4 linked regions of the Macaca fascicularis genome follow. The main gene of each other region encodes a partner of the protein of the gene in region 3 in a complex. Links are inferred from orthologs where the notes say so. Each region holds a gene or a part of one and is shown on either strand. Other genes may lie near its edges.

What was found.
Region 1: POLA2 (region 3) and PRIM1 share a complex: the UniProt entries of both Homo sapiens proteins name them as parts of the alpha DNA polymerase complex. The link is inferred for Macaca fascicularis from reciprocal best matches to the Homo sapiens genes POLA2 and PRIM1.
Region 2: POLA2 (region 3) and PRIM2 share a complex: the UniProt entries of both Homo sapiens proteins name them as parts of the alpha DNA polymerase complex. The link is inferred for Macaca fascicularis from reciprocal best matches to the Homo sapiens genes POLA2 and PRIM2.
Region 4: the proteins of POLA2 (region 3) and POLA1 are in contact, whole or in part, in a cryo-EM structure (PDB 8G99), measured with the Xenopus laevis proteins. The link is inferred for Macaca fascicularis from reciprocal best matches to the Homo sapiens genes POLA2 and POLA1. Residues at the interface, in XP_018112289.1 of Xenopus laevis: Met280, Tyr281, Lys282, Phe283, Met284, Phe285, Gln286, Lys287, Leu288, Met289, Ile291, Arg292, Val295, Ser296, Ile299, Glu314, Thr316, Leu320, Pro321, Gln323, Glu324, Thr325, Val326, Gln331, Gly333, Cys334, Asp335, Ser336, Asn337, Gly338; in NP_001082055.1 of Xenopus laevis: Gln548, Lys551, His553, Gln554, Asn555, Phe642, Glu645, Val646, Gln649, Asn652, Leu673, Gly675, Arg676, Phe679, Lys1137, Asp1141, Pro1143, Asp1144, Ile1321, Gln1322, His1324, Asn1325, Lys1326, Leu1328, Leu1329, Arg1332, Ile1335, Lys1336, Tyr1338, Tyr1339.

What each region holds. Positions count from the first base shown.
Region 1 is NC_088385.1:63,540,086-63,543,451, forward strand, and holds the end of PRIM1 (DNA primase small subunit), read right to left. Parts: intron 3,162-3,366; coding exon 3,063-3,161; intron 669-3,062; coding exon 649-668; 3' UTR 556-648; downstream 1-555. UniProt on the Homo sapiens protein: Catalytic subunit of the DNA primase complex and component of the DNA polymerase alpha complex (also known as the alpha DNA polymerase-primase complex - primosome/replisome) which play an essential role in the initiation of DNA synthesis.
Region 2 is NC_088378.1:114,411,220-114,414,787, forward strand, and holds part of PRIM2 (DNA primase large subunit), read right to left. Parts: intron 2,161-3,568; coding exon 2,040-2,160; intron 1-2,039. UniProt on the Homo sapiens protein: Regulatory subunit of the DNA primase complex and component of the DNA polymerase alpha complex (also known as the alpha DNA polymerase-primase complex) which play an essential role in the initiation of DNA synthesis.
Region 3 is NC_088388.1:9,091,501-9,095,068, reverse strand, and holds part of POLA2 (DNA polymerase alpha subunit B), read left to right. Parts: intron 1-763; coding exon 764-919; intron 920-1,755; coding exon 1,756-1,818; intron 1,819-2,881; coding exon 2,882-2,924; intron 2,925-3,568. UniProt on the Homo sapiens protein: Accessory subunit of the DNA polymerase alpha complex (also known as the alpha DNA polymerase-primase complex) which plays an essential role in the initiation of DNA synthesis.
Region 4 is NC_088395.1:24,696,074-24,699,641, reverse strand, and holds part of POLA1 (DNA polymerase alpha catalytic subunit), read right to left. Parts: intron 2,118-3,568; coding exon 1,988-2,117; intron 1,501-1,987; coding exon 1,381-1,500; intron 258-1,380; coding exon 158-257; intron 1-157. UniProt on the Homo sapiens protein: Catalytic subunit of the DNA polymerase alpha complex (also known as the alpha DNA polymerase-primase complex) which plays an essential role in the initiation of DNA synthesis.

The sequences.
Region 1 (3,366 bases), on a different chromosome or scaffold from region 3:
TGAGAGTCCTATTACTGCTCACTTACCTCTATATATGGCAAATAGTAGAACTGGGTATTTATATTAGAAGCCTTAGAATTATCCTTGTATAATATTAAATTTTACAAAATTATCTGCAATCCACTTATGCCTCCTTTTATTTCTCCTTCCAGGAACCTTGACACTCTCCTTTGGTGGTCTCAGGAAATCTTATTTTTTTTTGTTTTGTTTCTTTTTTGAGATGGAGTCTCGCCTGTCACCCATTGGCTGCGATCTCGGCTCACTGCAACCTCTCCCTCCTGGGTTCAAGCAATTCTCCTGCCTCGGCCTCCCGAGTAGCTAGGATTACTGTATGCACCACCACACCCGACTAATTTTTGTGGTTTTTGTAGAGATGGGGGTTTCGCCATGTTGGCCAGGCTAGTCTTGAACTACTGACCTCAGGTGATCCGCCTGCCTCAGCCTCCCAAAGTGCTGGGATTACAGGTGTGAGCCACTGCGCCCGGCCAGGAAATCTTTTCAACATAAATTATTTCTCAAGTAAAGGAAAATGTACTTTGAGGTTTAAGACACATACATAGTTCTGCTGTATTTATTAAATGGCTTTTGAAGTATTTGATCTGTTGTTGAAGGCAGAAGATATCCACATTGGTTTGAGGAGCTCTGTCTTCAGAAATCTTTTTGTAAATCTAAAATAGAATAGATAATATATGGAAGAACAGCAAAGGAAAACAAAACAAAGCCCATTTATTTTTACATTCTTTTTTGCCTAATGCTTCTATTTAACTCACATCGTGCACAAAGATTTGCTTACACATTTGCTGAAGTCCACATTATAGGCTGAGCTAATACGGAATAGTGTGGATACAAAGGACTTAATACGGCCAGTTGCAATGGCAGTTTCAACCGGGCTTTCCAAGCTTAGAGTCGTTCATTCAATAATTACACATGTAAGTGTCTACTGAGTAGAGCATTATCTTAGGCACTACTGCTTAAACTATCACATACTGAAATAAAAAATGAAGTGGCAAGATAATTGTATTGCTATAACATTGCCACAGTTTTCTAGAGTATCCTCTTGAATAATATTCAATCTGCTGGTTTTTTTCCTATTGGTTTATACATATACTCAGATGTCTCCCATTCAGAGTACTCTTCATTTGGCACTGCTATCCTCTTTGCGTTTCCTTCCAGCTATTACATGCAGCAAGATTTTATTAGTTTCCTACTGTACCTGACACTTGATAATCTTGCACTTTTCTTTTCCCTGGCTTCTATAACATTTTCCCTTCCATCTTTCATCTCTTCACTTCTAAATCATTAGCAAGTCTCAAGGATGGTTCCAGTATTTGCACCTTTTGGAGATCTTCAGTGCTAATGTTTTAGTGGCAATAGCTCAGTTGGCCTCTTGGGCTCTATTCTAGTCCCTGCCTTGCCCAGATTTATCTGTCTGGATAAAAACTACAAATCATGGCATTCCCTTCCTCAGAACCTTTAAAAGCTTCCTATTAAGCCCAAAACGAAGCCCAAACACCTAAGCTTGGAATTCAAGGCCATTCAGCTTGCTTCTTTGGATTTATAGCCCATCACTCCTGGACACACCGTTTACTAGATTAGCTGTACTACTTGATGGCTTCCAGAGTGACTGGATGCTTTCCTTTGCTCTTGCTGTTCCTTCAAGAATGAACAACCCTTGGCCTTTTTCCACCTCCATACCCTTATCTCATCAAATTTCTGCTTGTGGAAATCCTTCTCATACCTGATGGTATAGTATATTGGCATTAGGGATTAGATCTTTTTTTTTTTTTTGAGATGGAGTCTTGCTCTGTCACCCAGGCTGGAGTACAATAGTGTGATCTTGGCTCACTGCAACCTCCACCTCCCGGCTTCAAGCGATTCTCCTGCCTCAGCCTCCTAAGTAGCTGGGATTACAGGCACGCAATAACGCGCCTGGCTAATTTTTGTATTTTTAGTAGAGGCGGGGTTTCACCATGTTGGCCAGGCTGGTCTTGAATTCCTGACTTCAAGTGATCCGCCCGCTTCGGTCTCCCAAAATGCTGGGATTATAGGTGTGAGCCGCCATGTACGGCCTAGGGATTTTTTTTTTTTTTTTGAGACAGAGTTTTGCTCTTGTTGCCCAGGCTGGAGTGCAATGGCATGATCTCCGCTCACTGCAACCTCCACCTCCTGGGTTCAAGCGATTCTCCTGCCTCAGCTTCCCTAGTAGCTGGGATTATAGGTGCCCGCCACCACACCCAGCTAATTTTTTGTATTTTTAGTAGAGATGGGGTTTTACTATGTTGGCCAGGCTGGTTTTGAACTCCTGACCTCAGGCGATCCACCTGCCTCAGCATCCCAAAGTGCTGGGATTACAGGTGTGAGCCACTGCACCCGGCTAGGGATTAGAATTCTTACAGCAGCTCACTGAAAGGAGTTCAGATACCACTATTTTCATATGAAATCTCAGAGTCCGTCAGATAAAATCTCTTTCTTAGCATTTTGTACATTTTTGTTTTGTACTAAGTTAGTACTTCTTTTTTTTTTTGAGATGCAGTCTCGCTCTGTTGCCCATGCTGGAGTGCAATGGTGCGATTTCAGCTCATTGCAATCTCTGCCTCCCTGGTTCAAGCGATTCTCATGTCTCCACCTCCTGAATAGCTGGGATTACAGGTGGCTACCCCCACGCCCAGCTAATTTTTTGTATTTTTAGTAGAAAAGGGTTTCATCATGTTGGCCAGGCTGGTCTCAAACTCCTGACCTCAAGTGATCCAACTGCCTTGGTCTCCCAAAGTGCTGGGATTACAGGCGTGAGCCACCGTGCCCAGCCAAGTTAGTACTTCTTAAGGGCAAGGGGGCATGATATTAATTCATCTTTGTCTCCCTTGTAGACCTGATACTTAGAATGTGTTTAATAACTATGTGTTAAATTGAATTAAGGAACCTCAATTTCCAAAACATTAAGGATAGTAAGATAAATCAGTAAATTTTGGGAGGAGGGCAAAGAAATACTAGAACTCAAAAATTGCCCTTTTCTACTAATACTAAGATCTAACTAGATAGAAGGGAAAGGTATAGAGTCTTACCACTCTTCTTAAGAAGTTCTCCTTTTCGAGATTTATCCAGGTTTTCAAGAAAATGTTCAAAAACTTTTACATAAGGTGCTAGACTGGTCTTCTTATAATCTAAATTATGAAGAATGTACATTATAATTAGCATAGTGGCAGCAATAACATGAAAATGCAACTAAGTTTCTTTTCTTTTTTTTTTTTTTTTTGGAGATGGAGTCTCACTCTGTCCCCCAGGTTGAAGTGCAGTGGCGCGATCTCGGCTCACTGCAAGCTCCGTCTCCCCAGTTCATGCCATTCTCCTGCCTCAGCCTCCTGAGTA
Region 2 (3,568 bases), on a different chromosome or scaffold from region 3:
CTGCACAGGAGGTGACCAGTGAGTGAGCATTACCACCTGAGCTCCACTTCCTGTCAGATTAGTGGAGACATTAGATTCTTATAGGAGTGGGAACCCTACTATGAACTGCACATGTGAGGGATCTAAGATGTGCATTCCGTATGAGAATCTAATGCCTGATGATCTGAGGTGGAACAGTTCATCCCAAAACTATCCACATCCCTCCCCACCCTGCTATCTCAGTCCGTGGAAAAATTGTCTTCCACAAAACCAGTCCCTGGTGCCAAAAAGGTTGGAGATAGCTGCTCTAGAATAAATAATAGACCTTCTCAAGGACACTTCTCTCTATAAACTACTAAAAATCAGTAATTTCAACAGAAGCAAAAAATAAACTATTTCTAATATGAACGGATAAATTAACTGTAATTGATAATTGCAATAATGGACTTCACCAAGGATAAAAGTTAAAAACAAAATGGAAGATGCAATGGTTTTGGTTCAGATGGTACCATGCATGACATCTGTCTATGCAAAGGTAGATGTGACTTAGAAACCTCATGAAGCAAATGAAAGAAACTATAGAAACTGCCTCCCTAGCATATATTCAATACTAAACGTCTACAGAATGTTTGTTCACTTCCCTTCACAGTCTCTTTTCCCTAACTCATATACTCCATAGTGTTCCTTGAACAGTGGATATGTCTTCTACTTGTCAGACAGAACAATGTCTTTCACCTATTGCAACTTCTACTTTTTTACTTTATTTGGCTTCAAGCCATGCATTCCAACAACAAAACAGAGTCTCAGCCAGTCCTACTACCATCTGACTGCTCTAAAACTTCCAAAACGGAATTTTTCTACATTCCCATTGTGGCATGTATCTACCTAAAAGACATAAATTCTAGGCCAGGCACAGAGGCTCACACCTGTAATCCCAGCACTTTGGGAGGCTGAGGCGGGCATATCACCCGAGGTCAGGGGTTTGAGACCAGCCTGGCCAACATGGTGAAACCATGTCTCTAAAAATACAAAAATTAGCCGGACATGGTGGCACACACCTGTAGTCCCAGCAACTCAGGAGGCTGAGGCAGGAGAATCGCTTGAACCTAGGAGGTGGAGGTTGCAGTGAGCCGAGATCACACCACTGCATTCCCACCTGAATGACAGAGTGAGGCTCCATCTCAAAAAAAAAAAAAAAAAAAGATATAAATTCTATTTCCAATACTTATCCCTGTTAAATGAGTCCCAAAGGTCTCTTCTTTTTTATATAATTACAATACGTAAATCATTCAGATTTATCTGCAAAACTATTCAGACAGATTTTACTCACAACTGACTTTTTGTTTTTTGGGTTTTTGTTGTTTTTTTTTTTTTTTTTTGAGATGGAGTCTTGCTCTGTTGCCCAGATTGGAGTGCAGTGGCATGATCTCAGCCCATCACAGCCTCCACCTCTCGGGTTCAAGCAATTTTCATGCCTTAGCCTCCTGACTAGCTGGGATTACGGGCACGCAGCACCATACCTGGCTAACTTTTATATTTTTTGTAGAGTGGGGGTTTCACCATGTTGGCCAGGATGGTCTCGAACTTTTGACTTCAAGTGATCTGCCCACCGCAGACTCCCAAAGTGCTGGGATTACAGGTGTGAGGTACCATGCCCCGCTTGACAACTGACTTTTATATAAAGTGTTACCTCCTCTAAATTTCACAACTATAAATAAATAACCATCACTTGTCTAGTTTAACACATTATTAATTTTGAAATTTTTTGGCCAACAAAATTTTGGTTAAAGGTGAACCTTTATAAACTAAACCTTCTTGTGCTTTAATAAAGCACATATTTAACAGAGGAACTAAATGTGAGACTGTGTTATTAAGGAGCCCCTTTTCTTCTAGTCATAGAGAAGGAAAGACATATTGTTATCCAAAGCTATTAGCTACTGTTTCAGACAGGTACTTGCAGAATGTAAAGAGAATACACCACACATTAGTACCAGCACTTAAGACAGAAGGGAAAAATGAACAGTGAGAACAATTAGAAATAACTACAAAAATATACTTACAGCCTCAAACTGCAATTGGCTATCCTTTAAGAAATCCTGAATTTTATCCTTGGGTAAAATGCTGAATCTAAATCGAAGGAGATCCATTTCTTGTTGAATGAACCAGCGTCTAAGTTCTTCACTGAAATGAAGACAGAAAGCATGAGTACAAACTAAAAATCCAGTGATTATTAAATCTAAGAAATGTTTATAAAACAATATTCAGACATAAGCAAGATGCTAATGGACAGCAGTTAAAAACATGCAAGTCCTCTATCATGGTAAGGAGAATATCAATACCACATATCACAATCTTCTAGGGATGTGTTGGGTACAAGGTATAGGGGGTGTTAAAAATTAAAAGGATTAAATACAGAATGCTTCGAGCCCAGCTGCATTATTTTTAAATAACATAAAATACTTCATGCATTTAATGTAACTTCAAAATATTCATTTTATGTTAGAAAATAGGGGCTGGTATGGTGGCTCATGCCTGTAATCCTAGCAATTTGAGAGGTCAAGGCGGGCAGATCACCTGAGCCCAGAAGTCTGAGACCAGCCTGAGCAACTTGGTAAAACCCCATATCTACAAAAAAATTAGCCAGGCATGGTGGCATGTGCCTATAGTCCCAGCTTCTCAGGAGGCTGAGGTGGAAGGATCACCTGAGCCCACAGAGGTTGAGGCTGCAGTGAGCCGAGATGGCACCACTGTACTCCAGCCTAGGCAATGGCATGAGACCCTAGCTCAAAAAAAAAAAAAAAAGAGAGAGAAAAGAGAAAAAAAAAGAAAAGGAAATGGGGAAATGGGGCACTCCTTTGGCTTGAGGTGTCTTTATAAATGCCAAATAAAAGACACCAAATTTTTTAAGGCAACTTTGATCAGATTAACTTTGCAAAGGACACTTTGCTCATGGCTTTACAATTTATAATTTCATAAAATTTAATATGCACATGTATACCACAATATTTAAAAGCAATAAAATGTTCATTTATAAGGCAGATACTAAGGGGTGTTACTGTTATATAATAAAATAATTACCCTACTGGATGCAAAATATGATTTCACATTTTTAGGAGATTTTCACAGATTGTCAGCAATGTATTTATTATATAAATTTCATAAACTACATATGCTTTTTTATAGAAGAAAAACTCTAGAACCAAAACTGGTAAGTAATTTACCAATTATTATCTTGGGATAGTAAGCAATTCAAGAGTCTCACTTGATAAGCCTATTAATTAAAACAAAGACAGCCATAACTAAATTATGTGACCAAAATTAATATGTGGGGAAAAACAGTTTTAAAAAAAGCAACTAACTTTACTACCTCTGGGTGGCACTGTTAACTTAAAAAAACCAACTACCAAACAAAAATCTTAGATTTAACTGGCCCATAGAGCTCAAATTCCAAAAACCTGTATCAAATTCAAGTGTGGGTTTCATTAATTGTTTCTTATAAATATTATCTTTTTTTTGCAGGAAAAGTATCAAAAGTCCTTCCTCCCAATAAAATCCTTTCCAATTTAAAATCCCAAATGAAGAGTCTCTC
Region 3 (3,568 bases):
TTGGAGGACTTGGAAGGAAATAATTGAGGGAAGGCAGGGAAGCACAATCACTGGGAAAGATGAGACTTCCTCTCTTTTCTCCCAAGAGTGGGAACAGAACAGACGAAGCCATAGGGACAGAGATTTTAGCTCAATTAATAAAGAACTTCCTGTTAGGAGGTTGTATGGTATGTGGCTAAGGATATGGCTCTAGAGCCAAATTTCTGGTCTCAAACCCAAGCTTCACCCACAGTTTGACCTTGACTAAATTATCTAACTTCTCTGTTGCTTGTTTTCCTCATCTGTAAAATGGGTACAATAATATCCACCTGATGGTTGTTGCAAGGATTAAATGAGTTAATATATATAAAATGCCTAAGAATACATTTTAGAATAGTGCATGGTATTTAGTAAGCTCAAGAAATGTTATCTATTATTAAGTAGTTATAGCTGTCCAAAGATGCAGTGTGCTGCCCTGGGATGGTGAGGACCAGGTGGGGTGGGCATCCAGGGGCAAGTTCCCCTACACTAGAGATGCTCACACTTAGGCATCCTCCTCGGAGGGCTCAAGTGCTGGGTTGGTGGGTGGACAAGATGCCCTTTCAGAGTTCTTCCATCCTGAGAGTCAGTGATGATGCTGTAGTCACCTCAGGGTCAAAGCAATGCCCTGCCAAAAAATGTATTTGTTGTTTGCAGTTTGTTTTGCTATTCATCCTATTGACTTCAGATTTTGAGCTCCTGCTCCAAAGACTGTCGTTCTTATGCTGTGACCTTCCTTTGGTAGGAGCCTGTCACTCTGCTGGGCCAGATTGGCTGTGATAGCAACGGGAAACTGAACAACAAGTCAGTGATTCTCGAGGGAGACCGGGAACATTCCTCGGGTGCTCAAATCTCAGTGGATTTATCTGAGCTTAAGGAATATTCTCTGTTTCCCGGACAGGTGAGATTGGAGGAGTTCCACCAGGATGCAGGTGCACTCTTTACTCCTGAAGAGTACGTGCTGTGCCATGTGCAGCTGCTCCTTAGTTCCTGTCTCTGCTGCCATGGGGTGTGGGTGGAGCACATGCCCCAGAGCAGACACCACTGTTGGGATTTCCATTTCCCCCATGCTCTGACCGAGGCTCTGGGACCCAACTGCCCAGCCTCAAATCCTAACTCCCCACTCCATGAGGTGCATACCTGTGGGCAAGGTACTTAACCATCTAAACCACAGTATCTTCACTCACAACATGGAAATAATAATTCTTACCTCATAGAATTGTTGTGAAAATTAGATCACGTATGTAGAGCATAATTATTATTACTAATGCAACGCCCTTAATTTGTTTTCTGCAAAAATGCCCTAAGTTTATGATTACAGATTAAAAGTAGTTGGACAATGCTTTTTTTTTTTTTTTTTTTTTTTGAGATGGAGTCTCGCTCTGTGCCCCAGGCTGGAGTGCAGTGGCGCAATTTCGGCTCACTGAAAGCTCTGCCTCCCAGGTTCACGCCATTCTCCTGCCTCAGCCTCCTGAGTAGCTGGGACTACAGGCGCCCACCACTGCACCCGGCTAATTTTTTGTATTTTTAGTAGAGACGGGGTTTCACCGTGTTAGCCAGAATGGTCTCGATCTCCTGACCTTGTGATCCGCCCGCCTCGGCCTCCCAAAGTGCTGGGATTACAGGCATGAGCCACCGCGCCCGGCCTGGACAATGCTTTTAACTGCCTCAAAATAATGTATTCCAGACCTCGTTGATCTCCACTGCTTAGCAATCCTGTTTGTTTTTGTCTTTCAGGTTGTAATTATGGAAGGAATCAACACCACTGGTAGGAAACTTGTTGCCACCAAACTCTATGAGGTACACAGCGTACCCCCACTTGCCTCTTGGTTTGCTTCAGGCAAAGTGTGTCTGGAAGCTGTCTGTTCTAGAAACTGGTCCTTTTTAGGAGCCCATTTATTTGTTAGTCAGTTCTCCATCTGTAAGTGGAAATCTACCCCTGGGCCAGGGGTCAGCAAACTCTTTCTGTAAAGGGCCAGACAGTAATTCTTTTAGACTTTGTAGCTACATGGTCTCTGTCACAATGACTCAACTCTGCCTTTGTCTACAAAAGCAGCCACAGAGAACTCTTAAACAGATGACTGTGGCTGTGTTCCAATAAAACTTTATTTAAATAGTGGGCTAGAGCCAGATTTGGCCCAGAGGCCATAAGCTGACCTATCCCTGCTCTAGGCAACAATCCTCCAGAGATTTTCATAGAATGCCAGGAAAAGTAGCAAGACACCCTCCCATTCTTGCCTAGAAGTACACTGATACTTTAGGTACCTGTTTTGCTCCCACTTGTCGCTGGGTGTTTTATGACAATTGAGTAGTGACCTCCGATTACCTGGGTTTCTTCGCCCTCTGAGCAGTATAGAAAAATGGCAGGTCCTGGCCGGGTGCGGTAACTCACGCCTGTAATCCCAGCACTTTGGGAGGCCAAGGTGGGTGGATCACAAGGTCAGGAAATCGAGACCATCCTGGCTAACACAATGAAACCCCATCTCTACTAAAAATATAAAAAATTAGCCAGGCGTGGCGGCGTGTGCCTGTAGTCCCAGCTACTCGGGAGGCTGAGGCAGGAGAATGGCATGAACCCGGGAGGCAGAGCTTGCAGTGAGCCAAAATGGCACCACTGCACTCCAGCCTGGGTGACAGAGGGAGACTCCATCTCAAAAAAAAAGAAAAGGAAAGAAAGAAAAGAAAAATGGCAGGTCCCATCAGATCTAAGGAGCAAGACAGAGGCACATCCTTCCCCTGCCCTCGCTCCTCCTCACTGTCCTCCCATCACACCTACATCACCCCCCAACCCGGTGCCCTCCCCTTTCCTTACCAAGGTGATGCCTGGCGCAAGACCTTACTTGAGCTTTTCACTTGTTTTTAGGGTGTGCCACTTCCATTTTATCAGCCCACTGAAGAGGATGGAGGTGAGTTTCAGTTCAAATACTGTTTTTGCAAACAGTGAGGGTGGTAGACATGAGTCCAGGAGTGCAGTTTCCCGAGCCCAAGAAAGCTGCAGAAGCTGCTGAAGAGCAATGTGACCAAGCGGTGAGGGTACCACCATCAGTGAGTTCGTAGGTTTTTTGTCACAAGACCCCTGATCTGAGCCCAGTGAGCGTTGGTCGTGCTGTCACCTGAATTCTGCCTACATGAAGCATGTTGTGTTTTTTTTTTTTTTTTTTGAGACGGAGTCTCGCTCTGCCACCCAGGCTGGAGTGCAGTGGCCGGATCTCAGCTCACTGCAAGCTCCGCCTCCCGGGTTCACGCCATTCTCCTGCCTCAGCCTCCCGAGTAGCTGGGACTACAGGCACCCGCCACCTCGCCCGGCTAGTTTTTTGTAGTTTTTAGTAGAGACGGGGTTTCACAGTGTCAGCCAGGATGGTCTCGATCTCCTGACCTCGTGATCCGCCCGTCTCGGCCTCCCAAAGTGCTGGGATTACAGGCTTGAGCCACCGCGCCCGGCCGAAGCATGTTATTTAAAGACTAATGTCTAACAGGTATTTTTGAAGGTTGCCTTGGAAAGGAAAAAGATGTACAATTTCAAGAAGAATTTCTTTACATGCAGTGTGGG
Region 4 (3,568 bases), on a different chromosome or scaffold from region 3:
TGGCAACCAAGATTTTCACATGAATCAAAGATAAAAGTCATGAGACCTATTTGCTGACCTGTAAGATATAATTCAGGTCTTCTAGTTTCTCAAGCCTAGATCCACATTAAGAAACTCCTTAATATTGGGAGAAAACCAATTCACTGCCCAGCCTTACCAACTTTGGGGTCCAAAACCAAGCCTCCAGCATAAGCTGCTTTCTTACGTCCTTTCTTATATTTATTGGTATCTCCATCAATTTCTTCATCTTCATCTCCCTAATATCAAATGGAAAGATAGCTTCACCACTAATTAACTAATTTAAAATTTTGATGATTCTCTCTTTTCCAATTGCAGGACTTAGTTCTAACAAACATTTCAGTTACTGGTCCTAACTGTTGGGAAAGACAGTTATTGTAATATGTTCATGAATCCAAATGAATTCCAAGCATAGTAATTTCTTAAACAAATACTACATCCTGAGTTAACAAATACAAAAATTTTATCTTTATGTTTCTGAATTTACAGAATTTCATATTTTTAAATCAATGAATATCGAAAAATACCACTTTTCATATTATACAAAATTTGAGATTATAAAACAGCCCTCTTAAAATCACTACTCTAATATTCATGATGTAAAAACATAAAATGCTTCATGTAGACATTATCATTATCCCTATTATTAATATGGACACCATAAAATAAGTACATCCATATACTGAAAATCCATTCCTAAGTAGTTTATTACTGGCCAACATTCAATAACTCAGCAGAAGTTAAAGTCCTCTAAATGAATATTCCCTATACCAATTTTGATAATGTACACTAAAAAACAAGCAAATATGAGAACCTGAATCAAATTTTAACATTCAATTCCCATTTCTGAATTAATTAATATCAGTGCTAATAAAACAGTAGCTAAACTAAGTTTTAGTTCCAAAGTGATGGAGGCTACTTCAGAAACCTGACTGTGGGTGACCTTGGTCATACTAGTACAGAAAAATGCAACACAAAAATAAAGGCTCATAGGGTTTAAGAAAATAAAAAGTTTAACTGGCATTTATCTTTGGATAGGGCTAAGGTGCCAGAACACATTCCGTGTATGGTCACCCATCAGAGAGGTCTAATGCTTCCCTCAAAGAATTTCATATTTCACAAATAATTTTGCCTGCACAAAGTGCATTTTCCTTTTACAAAGTGGAAAAGGAAATGACCACACAAAAACAAGGGAATAAACTTGACATGGTTTCTACAGTACACAAGGGATTAGCTATTTTGAAAGCAGATGTTATCACAGAAAAAAAGGCTATCTAAGTATTAAAAAAAGGGGGGGGGTAAATAGGTATTAAAAAGGGAGGGGGTAAGAGAAAACAAAATACTACACAGTTTTGGACCCACCAGTTTTTGCTGAGGCTTTCTGAAAATCTGCTTGTCAGGCACAATATAGTTGTTTTCGTAAAATGCATGAAGCAACAAGAACTCGTTACGCTCGGATCGTCCACCCATCAGCGTCCTGGACTATTAAATGGAATTTATTTTTTAAATTTGAGCTCAAAACCACAACTAACAAAAGCAACTTTGAGTCAGTAAGTTTAGTCACAGCACCTCCTTTAAAACTATTCCTAATAACGGGCTGTTTTTTAAAAAAGGTACTAAATTATTCCTAACGTTTTCTTTAAGCATTATAGTTAAAGGAGACAAAGACAGCTTAAAATATTGACAACTTGGCTATTTATTTACTCCCAAATGGACCATTCCACTAAACAGACACATCCAGATGTTAGAGAGATGATCCGTATGTTCGCCCAAATTTCAACACGCTGCACCTGGCATTCCTCCCCTTCTCCCAACCAGTTCTTCCTTTTACAAAAGAAATACAGCTTTCGGAATCTAAGTTACTCATTTTATAAGCATGCATCTAGACTCATTATCATATAACAACTACCCCAAGCAAATACTGAATCCAACAGGAAATGCTTTTTCCCCCTTTCTAAGTTAAATTTACCATAATGTTCCCAGCGATGTTAGTGATCTGCAATGCTAATGGAAGAACATTTAGCTCACACATGATCTGCAAAATGAACTTGGCATCTTTCCAGGTGTGTTCCAACAGGTATAACAGTTGAGAAGATTCACTGTACAGAAAAGTAAGAATGAAACAGAATCAAGTAATTAAAAGAAACAATGCCTATAATCAGAACTTCACAAAATATTACAAGGAATTTTGGGTATAAGTAAATTCAGAGCAACAGCACCTTGGCTTCAGAAACAATTTAAAATAAGGTCAGTATGTAACCAGGAATTCATTCATACCATTGATCCCAATGCTTTTCTCCAAAACACAGACACACACACACACACAAAATCCCTTAAGGAAAAACTGAAGTAATACAATAATTACAAGCCTGAAAACTATCTAAATCCTTTCATTCATTCCATCCAGTGAGTATATATTGCGTGCTTACTATGTGCCAGGCATTGGCTGTGACCAAAACAAACAAAATTTCCTTTCCTCCTGGAGCTTATGTCCTCATGGGGGAGACAGAGTATAAAAAAGACAAAGAAATTAAGTATACAGTATGTTATATAATGTTAAAAGTTAAGCAATGGGAATATTAAGTATCAGAAGCAGAGACTGAAATTTTTGTTAGGAAATAGTGGAAGATTTCACTGAGAATAAAGATCTGGAAGAGGTGAAGGAGCAAGACTTATGGAAAGAGCATTCCAGGCAGACAGGATAGCACACTTAAAAGCCCTGAGCTGCATGCAAATCTGACAGTTCCAGGGCTAGGAAAGAGGCCAATATGGCTAGATCAGAGAGAATGATGGAAAGAGCAGTAGGAGATAATGACAGAGTTAACAACATAGAGACACATTGTAAAGGACCTTGTAAGTAAAAATAAGGACTTTAGTTTTTACTCTGAATGAAACAGAGTCACTGGAAGATTCTGAGCAGAGTATCACATATGACTTGATTTTAGCAGGATAACTCTGGTTCTGGATTGAGAATCGACCACAAGGGGGAAAGGGCAAAAGTAGGAGATAGGCATATTAACCCAGTAATCCAGGGGAAAGAGGATAGCAGCTTAGACAGGATGGGTCCAATGGAGTTGAAAAGAAGTGGTCAGACTTAGATATATTTAGAATATAGAACTGACAGGATACCTGATGCATCTAGTGTGGGATATCAGAGAGAGGAATTAAAGATGCCTCAGAGATTTTGGGCTAAGTAAGACTCTGGAAGTTTCCAGTGATAATGGAAAAACACATTTATTAATTTAGTAAGGAAAGACTACAGGAAGAACCTAGGATCGATCAGAGCTCAGTTTTGAACAAGCTGGGAGTTCACATTAGATATCAAGTAAAATAGGTAAAATAGATACACTGAGTCTGGAATTTAGGGAGGTCTAACCTGAAGATACACAGGTGGGAGGCATAGGCATCCACATGGTATTTAAATTCCTAAGACTCAATGAGATCACCTAGAGAGGGAGCAAAGTCAGAAAAGAGAAGTCCAAGGAAGAACTCAGGAAGAACTAGCAGGAATGAATGAGAGATGGTCAGAGGAGTAGGAGGAAGAAATAAG